2 linked regions of the Mytilus edulis genome follow. The protein of the gene in region 2 interacts with the protein of the main gene of each other region in a pairwise test. Links are inferred from orthologs where the notes say so. Each region holds a gene or a part of one and is shown on either strand. Other genes may lie near its edges. The genes, in order: U6 snRNA-associated Sm-like protein LSm4 and U6 snRNA-associated Sm-like protein LSm1.

Evidence for each region.
Region 1: the proteins of U6 snRNA-associated Sm-like protein LSm1 (region 2) and U6 snRNA-associated Sm-like protein LSm4 interact in binary tests that used the Homo sapiens proteins (3 or more experiments, as listed by UniProt). The link is inferred for Mytilus edulis from reciprocal best matches to the Homo sapiens genes LSM1 and LSM4.

Annotation. Positions count from the first base shown.
Region 1 is NC_092344.1:91,104,390-91,108,328, reverse strand, and holds the start of U6 snRNA-associated Sm-like protein LSm4, read right to left. Parts: upstream 3,160-3,939; 5' UTR 3,047-3,159; coding exon 3,044-3,046; intron 556-3,043; coding exon 514-555; intron 1-513. UniProt on the Homo sapiens protein: Plays a role in pre-mRNA splicing as component of the U4/U6-U5 tri-snRNP complex that is involved in spliceosome assembly, and as component of the precatalytic spliceosome (spliceosome B complex).
Region 2 is NC_092347.1:87,966,824-87,970,762, forward strand, and holds the start of U6 snRNA-associated Sm-like protein LSm1, read right to left. Parts: upstream 2,276-3,939; 5' UTR 2,167-2,275; coding exon 2,121-2,166; intron 248-2,120; coding exon 179-247; intron 1-178. UniProt on the Homo sapiens protein: Plays a role in the degradation of histone mRNAs, the only eukaryotic mRNAs that are not polyadenylated. Probably also part of an LSm subunits-containing complex involved in the general process of mRNA degradation.

The sequences.
Region 1 (3,939 bases), on a different chromosome or scaffold from region 2:
TTAAGAAGTGAGCTAACGCCGCCGCCGCCGTAGCCGCCGCCGCCGCCGGATCACTATCCCTATGTCGAGCTTTCTGCAACAAAAGTTGCAGGCTCGACAAAAATGAGTTCCTATTGTTATATGTATATGTAACTTTTGATGTCATCTAGAGACGTAAATAATTGGGACTGATACATCAAAATGAGTTCCTATTGTTATATGTATATGTAACTTTTGATGTCATCTAGAGACGTAAATTATTGGGACTGATACATCAAAATGAGTTCCTATTGTTATATGTATATGTAACTTTTGATGTCATCTAGAGACATAAATAATTGGGACTGATACATCAAAATGAGTTCCTATTGATAAATGTAACTTTTGATGTCTGTCTGTGTCACTTGTAAGACAGTTTAGCTCCAATTATAGTATCACAGATGATACTGATAAACTTAACAGAGAAGAACAATGTCAGACTTTTCAAATGATAGTTTTAGTTGTTTTACTGAAGAGAAAATTTTGAAAACTTACCATAGGGTGATTTACAGCAGTCCTCAACAGGGACAAAGGCAACTGAAAAATAAAACAGAGCTTTACTGACACATAATGATAATTTATTCACTCTGTAAAGTTTTATTTACATTTGTATCCAGGCTCATATATTTAACACAGGGATCTGACCACTGAAAAAAAGGTTTCATCAACAAATCATCTTTATACACATGTATAACCTTTTAAAGTGGTCAACATGATGGTAAAGGATTTTGGTAGTCACTGTCAAACATAGATACATGTACTTTTTGTATGTGAAAACCTCACAATAGAAGTTAAAATGTATACAACTCTGTCTATTGAAGTTTGCAAATATTCTGTTTTAGCTTTCTAATGAAAGAAATTATGTTTAGACAAGTATATTGCAGAGTCCGAAAATGTCATTATTTTCGTATGTTGCATTAAGGTTGGCAAAAGAGTATTGCCCAGCCCAGTGGGAAATACTGGGAAAACCCAGGTTTTACTGGGTTTTACATGGTAACACTGGGCAGTGATTAAACACAAATGCAATACATTTAAAATATTTATAAACATATTTTGTTTATAAATAAGTTAACTTGTTTGAGATTCTTATAATACAAGTGTATACATTTGAGAAAGCATTATTTCAGCAACTACAATGTATGAGAAAGGTGTACATGAAGACACATTCGTGATATTAGGCAAATATTAATGAAAAAAGCCTTTCTCAATAATTCTCTACAAAATCTATAACATGTATATGTACATCACTAATTAATAAGTAATTATTCAGATTAGACACAGATATGTTTACATAACAATAATCAGCCTTTTCATTTTTATAAGTATTAATGACATGACCCTGTCGGGTGTTTATTTAGCAATATGATTGCAAAGCATTTCAAATTTAAACAATTAAATACTTTATTTCACACTACAAAATGTATGTATGTAAGCAATTTAAAACAACAATCATGATATTCTAATTATTCAAGACAACTGGACTTTGATTTTAAATTGGGTGCGAACGTGTAGGGTGCGAACAGACCTTTGATGCGAACATGCCAGGTGCGTACGCAGGGGTGTGGAAATATTTGTTGTAAGCACTTGTCCCTGGGCAAGTAAAACTATAAATTTTACCTGTCCGGAAAAAAAGTTACTTGCCCTGATGATCCTAATAAATATTGAAGTATTTCTTGTTAGCTAATATGTGATTCTTACTAAGCACTGTTGTGCCTGACAAACAAATGAAATCCATTTGTCTATATGTGTAAAAAAAAATTAGGAAAGTAAGAAATTGGTTAACATCAATGGGACAGAAATCTAACAGCAAACCAACCAATGAACAACATGTAAAGGACAATTTTGCAGCAGTTTTTGAATAAAGATTGTAGCCAGTTGGTACATATACTCAATTTGAGGAGTGGACAGTAATTGAAGAAATGCAAACTAGTAAATAATAGTTAAACTATTGATGTTGTGGTGTTTCTCTAAACTGACACTCTTGTTCTAGATTATTTATTATTGTCTTGATGAGCAATTAAAGAGTCCCTTCTAATTTGAAACTTCGACAACACATAATATTGACCTTTCATCAATAAATAAGACAAAAACTTAATTTATTTTGCGAATTTCCATCCTAGATAGCCAGCGGCAAACTGATATCCACAATGGCTGAAATTCTCTGTTTTTTTATATTTTAAATACTCTGTGTTCTCCATTTGCGTTTAAGGTTTTCTACTCGACTCATTACTCTTTTTGTCTTACTTGCCCTGCTTTTTATTAAGTGTTTATCAATCTGAATTGTAATATTATACAAAATTGAAAGAAATGACACTTCCGGTAAATGATGGATAAAACCTAATTGATGATTCCGGCTCAATGGACAAAGCCAATGCAATTTTACGTGACTCCGGTTCGTATACTTATTTTAATTTATTTTGGTAATCAATCTATTTCCGGTATTATGTAATGTTTATCGTCATGAACATTGATGTTTTTACTTGCTGACCATTGGTTTCTTTTACATAAATTAAACATTTTTATACGTTTTGAAATCAATTTTATATTTTTGTTGGAATTGAACTTTGTTTTGTATATTTTTTTACTTGTCCATGGGCAACCAAGACAAAAATAATTACTTGTCCGGTTGTTCAAATGTACGAGTCGGGCATAGCATTTCCACACCCCTGGTACGTGTAGGGTGCCAAAATGTATTGGGCGCGAACAGACCTGATACCCTATTGCCTAGCCCAGGAAAATCTGGTTTTTCCCGCCTGGGTTTTCCAGGGCGGGTAATACTTTGCCAACCATGTGTTGCATACATTGGACAATGTTGAATTGATTAATTGAGGTTTCCTGAACGTCCAGTAACAAATACTTCATGCCCGTTTCGGACGACAGTGTTGTCGTTGGAAACTCTCTCTAAAATTGTGAGTTTTCAATTGAATAGTTTACTTTAACAAGTACAAAACATTTCTTGTTCTTAATAAAGAAGCTAAAACATAAATTCATGTACAAATAGGCCAGTTAAATGCTAAATTGGTACCATTTTCTGAATCGAAATTTCTACGAATTTGCCGGCGCATTTATGGTATGGTTGTGAACCTGAATATAAAAGAAGAACGAAATGTACTAAATTGTTTGCTTGTTTATCCCAATATTCAAATCATTTTCAATTTAATTTTATTTGCATTTAATGATCAGTAATCAAAATTTATAGATAATAGGCAATTTCGGTTTTCATTGACGACAAAATCATGTTTTATAAGACATGTATTTTTGGTTTGCAGAGAGATTTATTTTTTTGGTTTACGATAGTTAGTCGTTATACATTGACAAGTAATAATACATTAAATCAAATATGATTCAATGGTTTTTTGTCTTATTAAAGCTGCATCAAACAGTTCGTCACAATTTTATTAACTTAATTATGTAAATTGAAGAGGCAAAACCTTTTTTATTTTTGTTCAACTTGAAAGTGATGATTTCTATGTTATCAATGGCAACATTTTAAAAATGATTCTATAAACACTGATCAGAGTTCACATACCCGTAACGGTGCCAACGCATAGGCGGATCCAGTTTATGAATGTTATAACATTTCTATACTTATATGTATTTTCTGACATCTTTATGAATCATCCCATTTGATTTTTCAATCGTTAAAAAACAGCATAAAAAGAGTTGATGTATGACGCTTTACCAGTACAGTTATTACTTGCATGCGCTCTTCGAGGTTCGCGTTTTAGTATAGTTGTTGCTATGGTGCTTTCTTTGAGGTCCGCGTTCCCAGTATAAATAGTGAATAGTTACTCAGTTAAAAGTCGTTATTTGTACCGAATATAGTGAACGTAGAAGATTAGCATCATGCATGTCAACATTTGTTATACCCGGTGCTGAGAACAGTTTATCTAAGGCAGCAACCATTTGATTTTCTGGGGG
Region 2 (3,939 bases):
AATGTCCCAGTTTCTGTGTTCATAAATAAAATGTCCTGGTCTCCAAACAAACACCGGAAGTTTATCACATTTTAAAACTTAGATAATGAGTATATATTCACACAAAACATGGAACTTAGTCTCAAAAAGTTGACATCAAAAGACAATAAGCCAGGTGGAACAGAAAATAAATACAAACCAAATTGGTCAATGCTCCTGAGAAATCCAATTAGTGTTCTGCCGTCTCTTAGTACAACTAGTAACTTCTCTGCAATATTAAAGAATAACATTTGTAGTTTCTGTTAAAATAAGCACAATTTAAAGAGAGATAATACTGGTCCAGAAGACACACCTACATGACCTATTTACATGCAGTTAAATGTTTAATGCCACATTATATCAAACTGCAGAAATTTGGGAAAATAGAACATACATGTACACCAATTGCAAAATCCTTTACTTTAAAAAATACAAAATTTGAACAGTTTAGCTTGCACATTACCCTGTTCTGGTTGCACATGTCATGATGTGTTGATAGACCCTAGCATGTTATATGATTTCATGCAAATTTGTTTAACATGTTTAACTCATTCCCAAATAAAATTTATTATATTTTAAGGAGATAAAATATTTTAATTTTATTATGTCTGTGTATACATGCATGTACAAATGTATTTAATAAAATGATTCTTAAGTTTATGCAATATATAAGTAATTAATTTTTACTTCTTCAAGTAAAAACAATACTTGTACAAGTAGTACCCCTCAGGCCCTGACTTTCATATAAATCTGCTGACTTCATGCCCTTTCACATGTAACACCTGCATCATTATCATATAATAGTACATTGTAGTTCAGCTTAGTTTTTGAGCACTAATATAAACATGATAAATGCTTCTTTGTTCTTTGTCATGCATGAAATTATAACCCATGTCTGTATATCATCAGATTAAAAGTTAAAAGCCTTCAATTTTCAAAAGGGAGGATATTTGGAGGGCATCTTCTTCATGATCTTTGTATTTTTCAATTTAACTGCATTTTTATTATAATTTGAAGGGGAAATGTTGCAATTTTGAATTCTTATGCAGTGGCGGATCCAGCCATTTTAAAAAGGGGGGTTCCTAACCTTGGACAATGGGGGGTTCCAACTATATGTTCCCATTCAAATGCATTGATCGGCCAAAAAAGGGGTGGGGTTCAACCCCAGGGCTCTGGATTTGCCACTGTTATGAATATCTGCGTCACGTTTGTCAAGGCAGTTTTAAAGATGAAATACAAAATTCAAATGCTTATCACTATAAATTGATACCCAATTGTGGGTATAATACCCATAATTAGGGATAGTACATAATCTAGATAGTAACCATTTTATCAGTCCAAATAATTATGACGTCTTGAAAGGCTATTATATGGGGACGAAGTCCCCAATTACGGTAGAAAAATCAATAAAAAAAAAAAAAATCAGGAAAATTTCCCGGATTTTTCATTCTACTAATGAACTCAAAATCGTTAACTTTTTTTTTCAGATCTACTTCCTGTTCCGGTTTTCTCCGCTTTTGCGCAGATATCTGTCTTGTTTGCATGAGACTTTGAAAAAATTTATATTTATCAGTCTAGTAAAATATAAGATTGGATCTCAATACAAATTCAATTTTAATAATTGTTTGATATGAAAAAAACGTTACCTGATGAAAGCGTTTCTTTTGTTTACATCGAATATGACGTCATAACTTAAAGAACGTCACAGCTAATTCCCTAACAACAGAATCAAAATCGTGAACGTTACGTACGGTATTTCGGTTTCTTTTATCAACGTGATTGAATTAAAAAAATAATACATACAGGCTTCCGTCCCCATTCACAGGTTATGCCTGCCTCATATTATCTTTTTTCTTTGACGCCTTACATCGGTCTTGAAAGGCTTTTATTTAATTTTTCGATGTAAGGAGTCAAAGAAAAATATATAATAGCCTTTCAAGACGTCATAATTATTTGGACTACCATAATTTTTATATGGGGATTCTGTCCATGAACATGTTCACGTTTTGACCGTTTTCCTTTGTTCGACATGTCGTATTTTTCTTTTAAAAGTTAATTCCCTTCAACTTATTTGTCTATATTATGAATGTTGACAAACATACTATCTATTTCTTCAATTAAACTTGCGGTGCCAGGTAGGTAACTCATTTTTCACATTTTTTGCAAAATTACAATTTCAATGATCGGTGTTGTTAATTGCTTCCGTGTACTAGTATAAATATCATGATTCCAAACGCACGAGTGACAAAGAGGACAGTCAAGTCTAATACCATAAAGTTAAATATGAAATACTAGATAAAAACGAACAATAAAAAAAATGCTTATTTTTATTGCTGTATAAAAAAATATTTTCACGTTTGATAACATTATAATTTCTTGCATTTTAGGTTATATTTCATTTTCACCTAATAAAAAGAAATGATGGTATGTCGAAAAAAGAATCATTGAATATCAATAAATGTTATTGACATATTGAGGCCGTATTCATAATTAAACTTTTTGAGTTATTTATTCTTTTCGCTTGACGATGGTTGATGGTACGAGGAAATTTCTTATGGTAAGGCTTATATAATAATTATTATTTATATAATTTATGAATACTGAACTTGAACATTTATTGGTCAAATAAGATGTATGTGTACCTTCTACTGTAGTCGGTATAAAAAATGTGGTGTGATTGCCAATGAGACAACTCTCCGCAAGAGAAAAAAAAGACACAACAATTAAGAATTAAGAATAGGCCATTGTGCGGCCTTGAACAATGAGTAAAATCAACACCGCATAGTCAGCTATGAAAGGCCCCAAAATAACTAATGTAGAACAACCCAGAGAGAAAAAACCAACCGCCCTAATTAATGTACAAAATAATGAACGAAAAATGTTTTGAAATACCCGGCAACAATCGACAACCACTGAATTATAAGCTCCTGACTTGGAGCACATACCGAGACTCAGTCAGTATATATGGCGATGGCTAAACTAGTATGAGAAGGCACCCAAACTCCCGGCCTAACCCGAGACAGTACAAAATAAGAACAAACAATAAAAATCAATTAAAAAGGGCCAAACCCAGCATAAATACACCTGTCCTCACAACAACAAAAAAAAACCCAAACATATCGGACGTGGCTGAATATGTGAGCCAAAATTTGTTCCTGTGAAAAAAAGTTCCAGTGGAACTAATATCACTGACAGGAAATATGTTCTGGGAGAACTTTTTTCACAGATGATTTCTATATAATTTGTTCCATTTCTATAGAATAAGTTCCACACTTTACATGGTGAAATAAGTACCGGGTTTGTGAAATTGTTCCTTCCCTAGTGAAATAAGTTCGAGATTTATGAGATTTGTTCCTTACCTGGTGAAACAAGTTCTGGGTTTGTGAGATTTGTTCCTCACCTGATGAAATAAGTTCCTTGTCTGTGATATATGTTCCACTGGTTAAACAAGTTCTCTTATATAAGCATTTGTCATCAATGAGTTTAAAGTTATCATTTAATTGCATTACAAAAATAAGTATTATATCACTAATAAAAAAGTAAAAAGTGTAAATCATCAAATTCGGATCCTGTGGAGTGTGACATCCTACAACTAAAATGCAACAAGTACTAATCAGGGTTAAGTAAAATAAAAACTGAGAGCTAATCCAAACAGAAAGCCGATAACAACAACAAAACATCATGCATATACGACTATAATATCAATCAGTACATGTCCAATACCATATGGATTTAGTGTATCTATATAGACGTCATTAACATGTAGAGAAAAACACGACCTGGCGCAATGCAAAGCTACAGGTATCAAAAAATTGTAGAGCCATGAATGTGCATATGTATATAAAAATAGTATTTAGTTTGATTTTGAGGGATAACAAAATCACTATCAATACCAATAAAACAATATTCTAATATCTAATT